Caenorhabditis elegans: one gene and its partner. The protein of the gene in region 2 purifies or fractionates together with the protein of the main gene of each other region. This does not show direct contact. Each region holds a gene or a part of one and is shown on either strand. Other genes may lie near its edges.

The links. Proteins that work in one complex are often made in the same cells at the same time.
Region 1: the proteins of chd-1 (region 2) and F13B12.1 fractionate together in Caenorhabditis elegans (co-fractionation; one large-scale study listed by BioGRID). This does not show direct contact.

The regions. Positions count from the first base shown.
Region 1 is NC_003282.8:10,422,091-10,426,608, forward strand, and holds F13B12.1 (IWS1-like protein), read right to left. Parts: upstream 2,546-4,518; 5' UTR 2,529-2,545; coding exon 2,161-2,528; intron 2,107-2,160; coding exon 1,267-2,106; intron 1,221-1,266; coding exon 1,019-1,220; intron 778-1,018; coding exon 652-777; 3' UTR 520-651; downstream 1-519. Other genes in the region: F13B12.2 (Major facilitator superfamily (MFS) profile domain-containing protein), read right to left, coding at 4,206-4,301, 4,349-4,406, 4,451-4,518.
Region 2 is NC_003279.8:7,009,218-7,017,105, forward strand, and holds the start of chd-1 (Chromodomain-helicase-DNA-binding protein 1), read right to left. Parts: upstream 6,007-7,888; 5' UTR 5,992-6,006; coding exon 5,862-5,991; intron 5,718-5,861; coding exon 5,575-5,717; intron 5,523-5,574; coding exon 5,286-5,522; intron 4,989-5,285; coding exon 4,368-4,988; intron 4,362-4,367; exon of another isoform or gene 4,303-4,361; coding exon 3,952-4,302; intron 3,906-3,951; coding exon 2,251-3,905; intron 2,088-2,250; coding exon 1,928-2,087; intron 1,751-1,927; coding exon 1,322-1,750; intron 1,276-1,321; coding exon 1,110-1,275; intron 832-1,109; coding exon 359-831; intron 310-358; coding exon 289-309; 3' UTR 1-288. Other genes in the region: pdi-3 (Protein disulfide-isomerase), read right to left, coding at 6,920-7,085, 7,137-7,213, 7,576-7,804, 7,884-7,888.

The DNA.
Region 1 (4,518 bases), on a different chromosome or scaffold from region 2:
GGATGAACACTTTTCGTGTTTACTCTAGAGATGCTGGTGTCTTTTGCACTGTCTCTCACAGGAAAACAACCTCCATTATTATTTTTTTGCCAATTTCAACAGGATTCCATGCATGCCCTCTTAACAAAACCTATTGTGAATTATTAATAACAAATAAAACCAACAACAACAGAATCATTGAATTCCCGGAAACTGAGAAAATTTAGATGGAGAGAATGGAAGTGAATCGAAAGCGGAGGGTACGCGGGAGAAATGGCGAGCTTTGTGTGCGAGCAAATCTTCAGGATGCTTCGTTGGGGCGCAATAGAGAGCATTAATATACAAGAGGACACAGATAGGTTGATAAGTGATTGGACCGGGAGGATGGCATCGAGGAGCACACTTGTCATGAAACACTTGTTCGGCCGTCCGTCCTCCCGGCTAGTTTGTGACCAATTTATCATTGAAATCTGTGAGAATGCATAGAGATTTTGAGGAAAAACCAATAGAATAGTGAATACAAATCACGATAAAAAAGTTCAAAGACAAACACATTTTATTCAAGACGATCAGATACAGAAAAAATTACATGTTGAAAACAGAGTACAACATTTTAAAGGTGTCAAAGAAAGGTAAATAAATAAAACAATAATTTGTAGTTTAACTCCGGGTTCAAATGCCCATGTTTCTTCCTTCGAGAGATACTTTAACAATCCGATTTGCCTTCGATTTTTTGGTTCTCTCTTGGAAATCGCGGAATGTCTGATCATATCTGTTGTTACCAGTGGATTTCTTCTCCTGAAACGCAAAATTGAAGCAAAATTAAAATTTATCTCGAATTTTTTCATAAATTAAAAAATGTATCCACTGATGATAAAAGGGTACTGGAGAAAATCAAATCTGCATTATAATTACGGTAGAAAACATTTTCGGTATAAAAATAGGTCCGTTTTGAGGTTGTTCCACAATTTGACTTTTAGATAGTTACGTAGTAATTTTAAGAATGTTCAAAAATTTACAATTTTTAAAACAAACTTACCCCCTTGAACGCTCCAGTAACTCTCCACTCTGGTCTGATGACGTAATCTTTGGTAGATGGCTTAGGAACACGTGCTCTTGGAATGTATCCCTTGTCTCCAGGTTTCAGATCATCAGATTTCGTTGGCCCCATTTCATCGGCATCCCTGATTCGTGGTCGTTTCGGTTGATCGTCATCATTGGGTTCTTCTTCATCTCGGCTGCTGAAATTTAATTTTAAAAAATATTTCAATTACTACTATTACTTACTTGATCTTCTTTTTCCTTTTCTCCGGCATTCTAGAATAATCCCTTTCTTCGCGTTCTTGCCTTGAAACGGTACTGTAGTCAGTATCTAGGTGATAAATTGGCCTGGCCCATTCTCCAATGAGCTTATTCGCAATTCCTTTATTTTCTTTCGTTTCATTAGGATGCTTATAAAGCATCATGACAGCCTTTCCAAGACCCGATTGCTTCAGTGTACTTCTGTCGAGTTTCCAAAATCGTGGATTATGAAGCAACTTGAGCACAGTTATACGAATATCAAGTGCCGGTAGGCATTTGTCTGGAAGTGGAGCAAGCCATTCGGAAAGAGCACTCATAAAGCCGTTTTCAATTAGAACTTCAACAATTCCAGCTCGAAGCATGATTGCCTTCACTTCAGGAAGCATTTTGATTTTCTGGAAAGCAGGCTTTCGTTCAATATTTGCATTTCTGTCAGATTTCGCCGCGTGTTTCATTCTTTCAACGAGCCGTGAAACGGTACCGTCATCGTCATTGATTATATCAATTCCTCCGTCTTTTCCTCCACGACGAGTTTTCTTCTTACGTTCTGCCTTTTTCTCGGCGAGCATTTTATCGAAGTCCCATTCAAAATGACGTCCATGCCTGTCTACTGGACCATCATCGTCGTCACTGTCGTAGGCAGGCTTTGAAGTTTCCTGACTTTCTTCTTCGTCACGGCCCTCCACAAATTCATCCAAATCATTCGTCTTTTTTGGTCGATCCTCGTCGTCGTCATCGCTGTCATCACCAAAAAGATTTTTTGTGGTTGGCTCTTTTTTGGAGGTGCCTTCATGATCAGAATCATCAGAATCGAGCATTACTCTTCTGAAATGTTAGAAATTAGTAAAACGTAGCAGGTTGACAATATTTAATTCTTACCTTTTCTTTCCTTCTGCATCACTTGCATCAGAGTCTATCAAAGCTCGCTTGTTCGCACTTTCCTCCGCATCAGAATCTTCGTCACTGTCTATCATAACTTTTGATTTGGTTTTGACCGGCGATGGTGACGGTGATCTTGAGCCAGCAGGACTTGCGGCAGATGGACTTGCTGGAGCAGAACTGTCACGAGCTGGACTAGCCGGAGCCTCGAACGATTCATCCTTGTAGATATCCTGAACATCTCCCGATGGTGATTCTGGGGCGTTTCCTTCCGAGCGAGGAGAAATTGGAGCCAATGGGGATGAAGCTCCTGATGAAGCAGGGGATGTTGGAGAAGCTCCATGCGACTCTTCTTCGTGGTCCGACATTCCGCAAAGTTCGAACACTGGAAAAAGTTATTTTCTTTGAAAGAAATACATATAAGGAATTAAAAATAAGGATTGAAATCGTATTAAGAGTAAACAAAGAAGACATTTCTGAAAATGAACATTAAAGGAGCAAAAATTCCAAAGTGATTGATTTAACATTGTAACTTTGAGTCAGATTTTGAGACATTTTATTGAAAGTACAGTTATCTTCGGAACGTAAAAGTATTTATCTATATTTCTATATAAATTCCCGAAAAAAACTACAACAAGATGAGAAAATTCCTTTAAAGGGGGTTATGTAAAAGTGCTGGAAAAATCTTTCGCACATGTAAAATAAAAACAACATTAAATTTTTATAAAATATCTGCGCGAGTTTTAATATGCAATGTACATTTCCACTGTTTTTAATTTTCACTAATAAAAACATACAATGACACAATAAAGCGGGGAATTGCAAAAAGTCGAAACTTGAATTTGATGAAAATTGCGAAAATTCTCCACCCGGAAACGCCAGCAACTTGAAGGAACTTGCAAAGAACTAATAATTTTCGATATGTTGTTGAAACTAAAGAAAAATTGATTTAAAAAGAGAAAAATCAATATGATAACTGGCAGCAAACAATAGATTAGTTTTTTGTTTGAAAAAAAACAAGTCTCTTCATCAACGATAAACAACACGCGCGGCGGGATTTCGGAGCGTCGTAGTCTGTAGGCAAAAATGCCTCTGCGTCTCCACAGGCCCCCGGGGCCCAAACTGCATCCAAACTCTTGCAATATTGCGGTGGCGACCTATCGCCACCCCTAATCCACATTCATGAATAGAAAAAACCGGCAAATATTGTTTAATGATTCTAGATTTTTTGCAAGAGAGCAAGAGATCATATCGTGTTTTTATATCTAGAGCCAAATGTTCATAATAAGTTTTGATCATTTCTTAGTGAATAAATTTCTAGAAAGTAAAAAACAGGATATAATCTGAAAACTCTTACTACCACAGTACCACTACAGTAACCCAACAGTATCCCTTAACTAACTCCAAAAAGAAAACAACTGAAATTTATTATAATTATTTGAGACTACAATTGTGACCTAGGTATTTTTAAAAATATTCATACACTTGCTCATATCTAGAATACACTTTAAAAATTAATTTTCAATTCGCAGTAAAAATCAGTAGTAAAGGATCCCAGTCATTGTGGTAAAAATGTCTACGGTAGCAAACGATCGAAATGGGATAACGTAGTAAAAAGTACGTCCGTAGCAAAAGAGTAGTAAATGTGGACAAATCGTAGTAAAAGATCTAAATGCGGAATTTGTAGTAAAAGAGAAACAGTACATATTTGAACACAATTTTCTTACAGTAGGGTTTTTAAAAATTAAAAATTCTGATTTTTCTTCAAAAAATGTGATGTTTCGGGAACTCTTTTTACAATAAAAGCTGTTTTCAAATAGAAAATGGTTCCATATTTTGCAGAATGTGACATTAATACTTTTCTGTAATAAACTATATATTTAGCGAAGCACCAAAATTGAGTCGGAATCGGAAATTTTAGTGTTTGCTTCGATTTGAATGATTGGTTCAATATCTGCTTTTTCAATAGCTAATATTGCAAAAAAGATAACGTATTTTATTATGACATGGAAACAAACAAACTATTTAATTATTGAAAAAGCGATTCAAAACAAAGTTGGTTCGTCAAGGTCTAATGTACCATAATTCGGAGCAATTGATGGTCCGAGATCTGTCAGAAGTCGTATTTCCAATGGATCAATCTGAATATGTTAAAATTTAAAATTTCAAAAAGCTTCTGGAGAAAAACCTTATAATGAAATTTAGTTTCTGGAAGTAACCTCCATAAAATCATTGAGAAAATAGACCTGAATAAAATTATTTGAAAAGTTATCGTGAAAAAAAAACGAACGTTGGAATAATAAATATCAAGTAACTCCATCCTCCAACAGTCTTACTCAATGGATAATAAAACAGTGT
Region 2 (7,888 bases):
AGATGAAATGTGATAAACATTTGAAATAAAAACAAAAAAAAGTAAACCCGACCAAAGAAAACAGGAAAAGAAATCGAGCTAGATGGATAAGGAATGGCAAATAAACGGACAAAATTAGGATTATATCATTTAGAAATGAATAAGAATTTCTATTTATCAACAACGAATTTGAAAACTAAAAATTGACATGTTTTGGGGAAAGAGAAACGGGATGATGGAAATTATATCGCAGTTTACGAAGAACCCGTGAGTGTAGTGTGTGCAGGTAGACGAAAAGATGGAGTTAGACTAATGTCGGCGGTTTTTCTCCTGAAAATATTAAACATCAAAAAAATGTTGTTGTTTTCTTAATGAATACCTTATGTTGCTCCCGATGGTGATGATCCTTGTGATGATCTTTATGATGTTCCCGATGATGGTCCTTACTAGTTCCTTCACCATGATCCATCCGCCTTTCTCCACGATTCCTTTCTCTGTCCTTCTCTCGATCCCTTTCCTTGTGATCTTTGGCTTCTTTCGGCTTCTCCTCCTTACTCTTATGATGGTGATGGTGATGGTGATTTTTGTGTTTATCAGAAGTTATACTTCTATATCGGTCAGCCATTTCTCCAGGTTCTCTCAGAGTGAACTTGCAAAGAAATATCCACAAATAGTTATACCATTTTCGAATATTTGTTTTTGGCTTCTTTTTTATAAGAGTTTCGAGGTTTTCAAGGAACGAGTCGCCGAGTCGGGTAAGATATTTGGCCTCGTCAGCTTGATTTTTGGCTTCCTGCGCTTCCTTCAGTTTTTTCATGTATTTATGTACCGGCATGCAAAGCTTCACACATTCTGAAAATTCATAAACGTTTTTGATTTTTTTAATGGAATAGATTTGGAGTTAATTTCAACTCAACTTACAATAGATGTTCTTAGACTTTCATAAATGAATATAGGATGATTAGAAGCCAGAGCTGTTATTATTATTTTTTTTCGAATTTCAGACATATGAAGTTTAATTTAAGAATACTATTTTTTCTAAAAATCCACATTTCTTTGCAGTCAAATTCATATCTGAATGTCTTAGAACATATACTGTAAGTTCTGAAATATTTTTTCAAAGTTTTTACCTAGGAATGGCTTGGCACTGCTATCCTCTAGAGCACCTCCATAAAGAGATTTATCAATCGAAAGAAGAGCTAGCTGATCTTTCAAACTGCTGCTGTTTTTCTCTTCTTTCTTTTCTTTTTTCTTCTTTTCTCCCTCTTGAGGAACATTATTCGTATGCCTTTTCTTCTGAAAAATTTAAATTATATTCAATAAGAAGACATTAAATTCCAACCTTTTCTGGTCCAACTGGTACATCATCTGCCTTTCGTTTTCTTTCCTTTTTTTCCGTTGTCTTCACTTTATCCTTGGACATTAGTTTCAACAAATAATCGACTCGAACTTGTAAGTTTTTTCCTTGCGGTTTTTTCGTCTTGTCTTTAATAAAAATCTTATCAGCCAATCCAAGAGTAGGATCCATTTTTATCGCTTCCCAACTACCGTAACCGTACTTCCAGACACCCAGGAGCAATGCCGAGTCATCAGGTCGACTCCAATCAACATCCCAACCTTTTTGTAATTTAGCATTTGCTGGTGGTTTGAATGAAGTTTTCGTTTCTTCTGACTTGAGTATTTCGTGTAATGGTTTCAGCTCAGCATGACTTCGTTCGATTTGCTTCAGATTAACGTCACATGTATGAAATTTGAATTTTCTTTCGATGTCCTGCAAGAAAATTGTTAATAAAATACATATTATTATTATTTCCATAACAAACACAAGTTAGCTTCATCAAAAAACTTTAAACGCGTTAATTAAAAAAATTAATCAATTGTTTTGATCAGAGAAAATTAATATTTTCAATGAACAAAAAAAAAGTTGGCTCAAAAAATTCGAACTAACCTTCTTTTCACTTTCCGCTGCACCGGCATCACCATTTTTCTCGTTACTGTCGAACTCATCGGCTGCTTTTTTGCACGCCTCACTCAAACTTTCAACAAGTTTCTTCATCTCGTCAGTGCTGTGCTCCTCGAGTTCCGCATCTTGAGCAATTTCCTCGAGCCTAAAAACAACACAGGTGGGTGGGGGAAGATTGGGGAAAAGAAAACATGAGAACAATTTAGAGAGTTTAGAAGTTTAGAGAGAAGAGTTACAAAGCAGTGGCACAGCCGACTCAATGAGCTCAGAGGTTAACAAAAAACTAATAAGACATGAGAAGCACGTACCTGTTAAGAGGCATCGAAAACTTTCGGAATGATTTGATAAATCGTTTGATTTCAGGAATTGTGAAGTTTCCCACTGCTTTCTTCTTTTTCTTTTTTCCAGTATCATCTTCTTCTTCATCATCGTCACCATCATCATCTTCGACAACCTGTGGTATTGGTTGTTTTCTTTGTCTCGGTGCTAGATTCATTTCAGCCAACTCCTTCATCCGTTCTTCCTCAAGAATTCGATTTCTATCCTCTTCTGGAATTATAGCCGCCCATTCGTCAGTTGCTGCAGCAATGTCCTTCTCTTCATCGATTGCGAAGTTTGCATATTTAAATGAACTGAGCAGTTCATTCTCTTTCATCACTTCTTCTTCAGCTTCTCGAGTCTCCGCGCCCATCAGGATTCGATCAATATCAACTTCAGGTTCTTGTTCTTCACCTTCTTTCTCTTTGAACAATTCAACAGCTCCAAACTTCAGAATTGCACTAAGTTCTTGTTTATCGAAAGGAACACTTCCGCTGGCAGTTGCATTCTTCGACAACACTGTTTTTCCAGTGGTATCCATTCTTTGAATGACTAAATGATCCAATACAAGCTTCCGTTTCGCTCGTTCAACAATCTCTTCTTCAACAGAACCTTTTGTTACTAGTCGGTAGATGTTCACGGTTTTTGTTTGACCAATACGATGTGCACGAGACATTGCTTGCAAATCATTCTGTGGGTTCCAATCTGAGTCGAAAATTATTACTGTATCAGCAGTGGCGAGGTTAATTCCTAATCCACCAGCCCTCGTGGACAGAAGGAAGGCAAAATCCGTGGATCCCGGAGCATTGTAATGATCAAGAGCTTGTTTCCGAAGATCAGCACGCATAGATCCGTCGAGTCGTTGTGAAGGAAAGCGTCGTAATTGAAGGTACTCTTGTAAAATATCGAGCATCATAACCATTTGAGAGAAGATCAGAACTCGATGACCTTTGTCTTTCAGACGGCATAGAAGCTTGTCAAGAAGGATTAGTTTTCCAGAAGATTTTAAAAGTTGTTGTAACCTTCCTTGGGCATCGTCATAGATATGATCATATTGTCGAGTGAGGGATGCATGATTGCAACACTTTTTCAATTCCATCACAAGATTTACAAATCCATTAATTGATCCTTTGACACCTTTCGATAACTCGCGGTAGTTCTTTGTAAGAATCCATTTATAAAACTGCTTCTGGTGAGCCGTCATGTCAACTCTGAGAATCTGTTCCGTCTTCGGCGGCAACGATTTTTCAACATCTTTCTTTACTCTCCTCAACAAAAATGGTTCAAGCTTTTTGTGCAAAGCAGATATTCCTTTATGATTCGATTCATTGTGAGCTGTTTCAAATTCTTCCCAACAATCGAACTTTTCAGGCATGATGAAGTGAAGAAGAGCCCACAGCTCTTTCAATGAGTTCTGGAGAGGTGTTCCTGTGATTAGAAGCTTATGGTTGAAACGGAACTGTGTGAGAGATTTGTAAAGCAAAGATTCGTCGTTTTTGAGACGGTGAGCTTCATCAACAAGAAGAGCTGCCCAATCAATTGATGACAGGAATGCTTTATCTTTGAGAAGAATTTCATACGTTGTCAGAATTGCATTGATCTTCATTTTCTTCGTTCCGCCGACAAACCATTCGTATTGACGAATCTACAAAACTACTTTTCAATATAAAAATACAAATATTATTTATTACCATATCTCTAGAAACAACATCGCCCATATAAACAACAAGATTCATTTCAGGAGCCCATTGAGCAAATTCTTTCTGCCAAGCAGCCATCGTTGAGAGAGGAACAACTACGAGGTATGGTCCAGCAAGATCATAACGATGAAATAATGAAGCGAGAAGAGAAATCGATTGAATTGTTTTTCCAAGGCCCATTTCATCGGCTAGAATTGAGCTGTTTCCTTTGCACCAAGCGTATACCATCCAATTGAGACCTTCAAGTTGATAATCACGAAGTTTGTGTGTTGATTCTCCGTCGGTTTTCAGAAAATCCGGCATCGACTCAAATTTTTCAAATTTCGGGCGCTTCCGGAGGACCTAAATTATTATTTTTTGTAGAGGTTTAATAATAAAAAGTGAAATAAATTGTCCTTCAAACTAACATTTGAATTTTTATTCGGAGATTTCAGATTTTCAATTCGATGATAATAAGCCTTTATCTGCTCAGGTGCAACCATCTTTTCATCTTCCCAAGTACAATCCGAGTACGGTAATCCAGACCACTTGATAAGATATTCAGTTGCCATTGATCCATCAGCAGCTCGATCTCTTGATGTTTGATGAGCTACGACTCTTTCCACTTTTTTGTATTCTTCACAAAGTTCTTCTGCCATTTGTTGTTCACATTCAAAAAATTCAATGTATTCTTTATCGGCTGACCGCTTCCACATCTCAACTTCTTTTTGCTTTTTCACGTAGTTTTGAACTTTTTTGAGTCCTTTTGCATTCATCAAGGCCAATGAGTTTTCAGACTCCCATGTGTTATGCAGATGACTCCAGCCTGTCCATTTGACAAAAAATTGCTGCTCTGTCTTATCACCGGGAATTTGATCGTTAGGATCCCCTTTATCAGCAATATTATAACAAGTTGTTGCAGAACCCGTTGCTCCAGGTACACCGTGCCGCCATTTGATAACTCTTTCGACAGTTTCAGTAAGAATTGCAGGTCCTTCTGCGGGTACTGCTGGCTCTTCATCCCATTCAAGAACGTCGTCATCGTCGATCTGGAAAAATAAAATATAGGAAACTGCTAAATTTTAAGATTATTTTAGTTTTAGAAAAGGTCTTTAAAATGAAGTTCGGACGAAACTAGTTCCACATTTTAGTTTTACGACTCATACTTAAAAAAATTATTAAATAGCTTTAATTTTAAGATGTTTTTAAATTGAAGCTAATAAATGAAGGAAAAAATAATTTTTGCGGCCTACTGTATCAAAGGCGCATTACTGAATTACATTTTCTAAAAATATTTTTCGCGGAGAGACCACTCGGCGCTATATTTGAATATTTCAACAACTCACGTCATCATCCGAATTTTTCTCGGCATAATTAACATTTCCTTTCACCGACTTCCGTTTTACAACTGAAACTGCTTTTTTCGTTTGCTTGACAACTTTTTTTGTTACTGTTCGCCGTGGTTTTCGTCGATCATCCCAATCATCTTCAGAAGATTGTGATTCTTCGGAATTATCCGACGGTGAATCATCTTGTCGTTTTGATCGTTTTGAACGTCGAAAGTAGTTTTCATTTTCAAGCAGCTGGAATATATTAAATTAATTTCTGTTGTGTTTTTGATCTTTGGACACATACTTTTCTTGTTTCTGCATCCATCCCCCGATTATTATTATTTTTCTTCTTCGGGGCAGGTTCATCTGGTTCTGAACTTGATGAGTTTTCACTAGCATCATCACTGTCGTCACTTTGATCAGAAGAACTTTCAGGTGAATCCGCAGCTGGAAATTGAGTCAAATAAAAATAACTTATTTTTTTAAAATAGTATTCGTGTAATGTAACATTCTTTTTTGTAGTTCACAAAATTTCAGATACTTAAGATTTTAAATGTATTTGATGAATTCTGAAAATAGTTAATATCCAACCTTTTTCTTTTTCATCATTATCTTCACTGGTACTGTTTCCTTCAGGATTTTCTTCTTCCCTCACAGGTTCATCTGTTTTCTCATCAGGTTCTGCATCACTCCCAGATGATGATTCAGACTGATTCCACATATCTGAAATTCTTATTTTTTCTCAACAAAAAACCCCGTAAAAATTCCAAAAAGACGGTAAAATTTAGCAAAATTTTGTTCGATTATATTTATATTCATAAATATTACTATTTTGATAACTATTTTAGCTAATTTTAGCAAACAATCTTATTAATATTCAAATTATTTCATTTTGGCGCCGATACCGTTATATTTACAAGAGGAAAAAAATTCAAAAAAAAAATCAATGAAATCACTGACGTAAAATCAAAAAACTTTTTTTTCAAACATCACTAAACTATAATAAAATAACATCAAAATAATTCAAAAATTCTCAAAAGTATGTGCAATTTGTTAAATACGGTACTAGATCCCCGTTAACATCGGAATAAAAAACAATTGCACTAGGCCCATTAATAGTACTTTCCGGTGCAATTTCCTATATTTTTTTAACTGAAAAGGGTACTAATTAAATTTAGCTGTCTATAGAAAACATTTTAATCGAAAAATTCTGCTTGTGAGCCAAGAAATCGGTCCAAAAAGAGATGCGCACTTCAGAAAAAAGCGAATCGCCCAGCCATGAACACCTCACAACCGCGACGCAACCGCTCGCGATCAAAAGTGCTCGTTACTCTAACCGCGAATTCAAACTTGCATTTTTAGTCAGAATAGAGCCTCCCACATTGATGCTTTTCATGTATTTGTGTGAGAACAACTCAAATATTAGAGACCAGAAGGTTTATTGGCAAAAAAGGCGTACGAAACGCCATAATGAAGGCACCAAACGGTCCTTTTTACATCATAAAACAAGAAAGAAACCGTGAAACAACCGTCAAGTTGAAAATTCTTCGATTGGGAACCCTAGTCGAAGCTGCAAACAATAAATAAATAAATTACAAAAGGGAAACAACGAGGGAGGGATTTGATAAAAATTCTCTATAATTATCCAATTACAATTCAGTCTTCTTCTTCTTCTTTCCGTCGCGGCTGAAACCCTTGAGCCCATCAGTAGAGTGCTTTGAGATGAAGCTGACGAAATCCTTAACTTCGCGTCCTCCATTGTATGGGATCGGGTTCGACTTAGCGTTCTTTGGAAGCCAGAAGAGAGTTGGGAATCTGCAAAATTATACAAATAATTCAGGATCAGCATTGGATAAAATTACTAACCCTCTAACTTCGAACATTGGTGGAACATCATTGGCGGTGGCATCCATCTTAGCAATGATAACATCTTCCTTGTTGAGCTGAAATTACAAAATTTGAAAGTATTTTACAAATTATATCACAAGCCTGAATACTTTAAGTGTCTCCCAGTGTAAACTTAAATATTTAAAAAAGTTTAATTAAAGTTAACTTGTATTTTTGAAAAACCTTTCAGAAAGCTTATCACAAAAGCACTTTAATAAATAAAAAATTACTATGTAAAAAATAACTTGCATGCTAACTTCTATTTTTATTTTTAAGTTTTTCTCACATTCGTGTTTCAAAATAAGTAAAAAATAAACTTTTTAAATGTGAACTATGGGAAGATGTTTAAAAAAAACCAACTGTTGCGAATTCTTATTCACAATACGTCGTATTAATTTTATGTAACAAAAAATTCTACCTTCTCAGCAAGTTCCTCGTATTTTGGAGCCAATGATTTGCAATGTCCGCACCATGGAGCATAAAATTCAATGAGCACATCCTTATCAGCATCCATGATAAGTTCCTTGAAGTTCTTTCCAACGGCAACCTTAACGTCTCCTTGTTCATCTGGGATTGGCTCAGACTTCATGTATGGTTCGGCATTTCCGGCGAGAACTTCATCAACGAATTGCTGGAGATTGTCAACGCTGAAATTATTATTATATTAAATATCGGTTGAAAAACATTGAAATTATTTTCTGATAATATATCAGAGCTTTAACACACCTGAA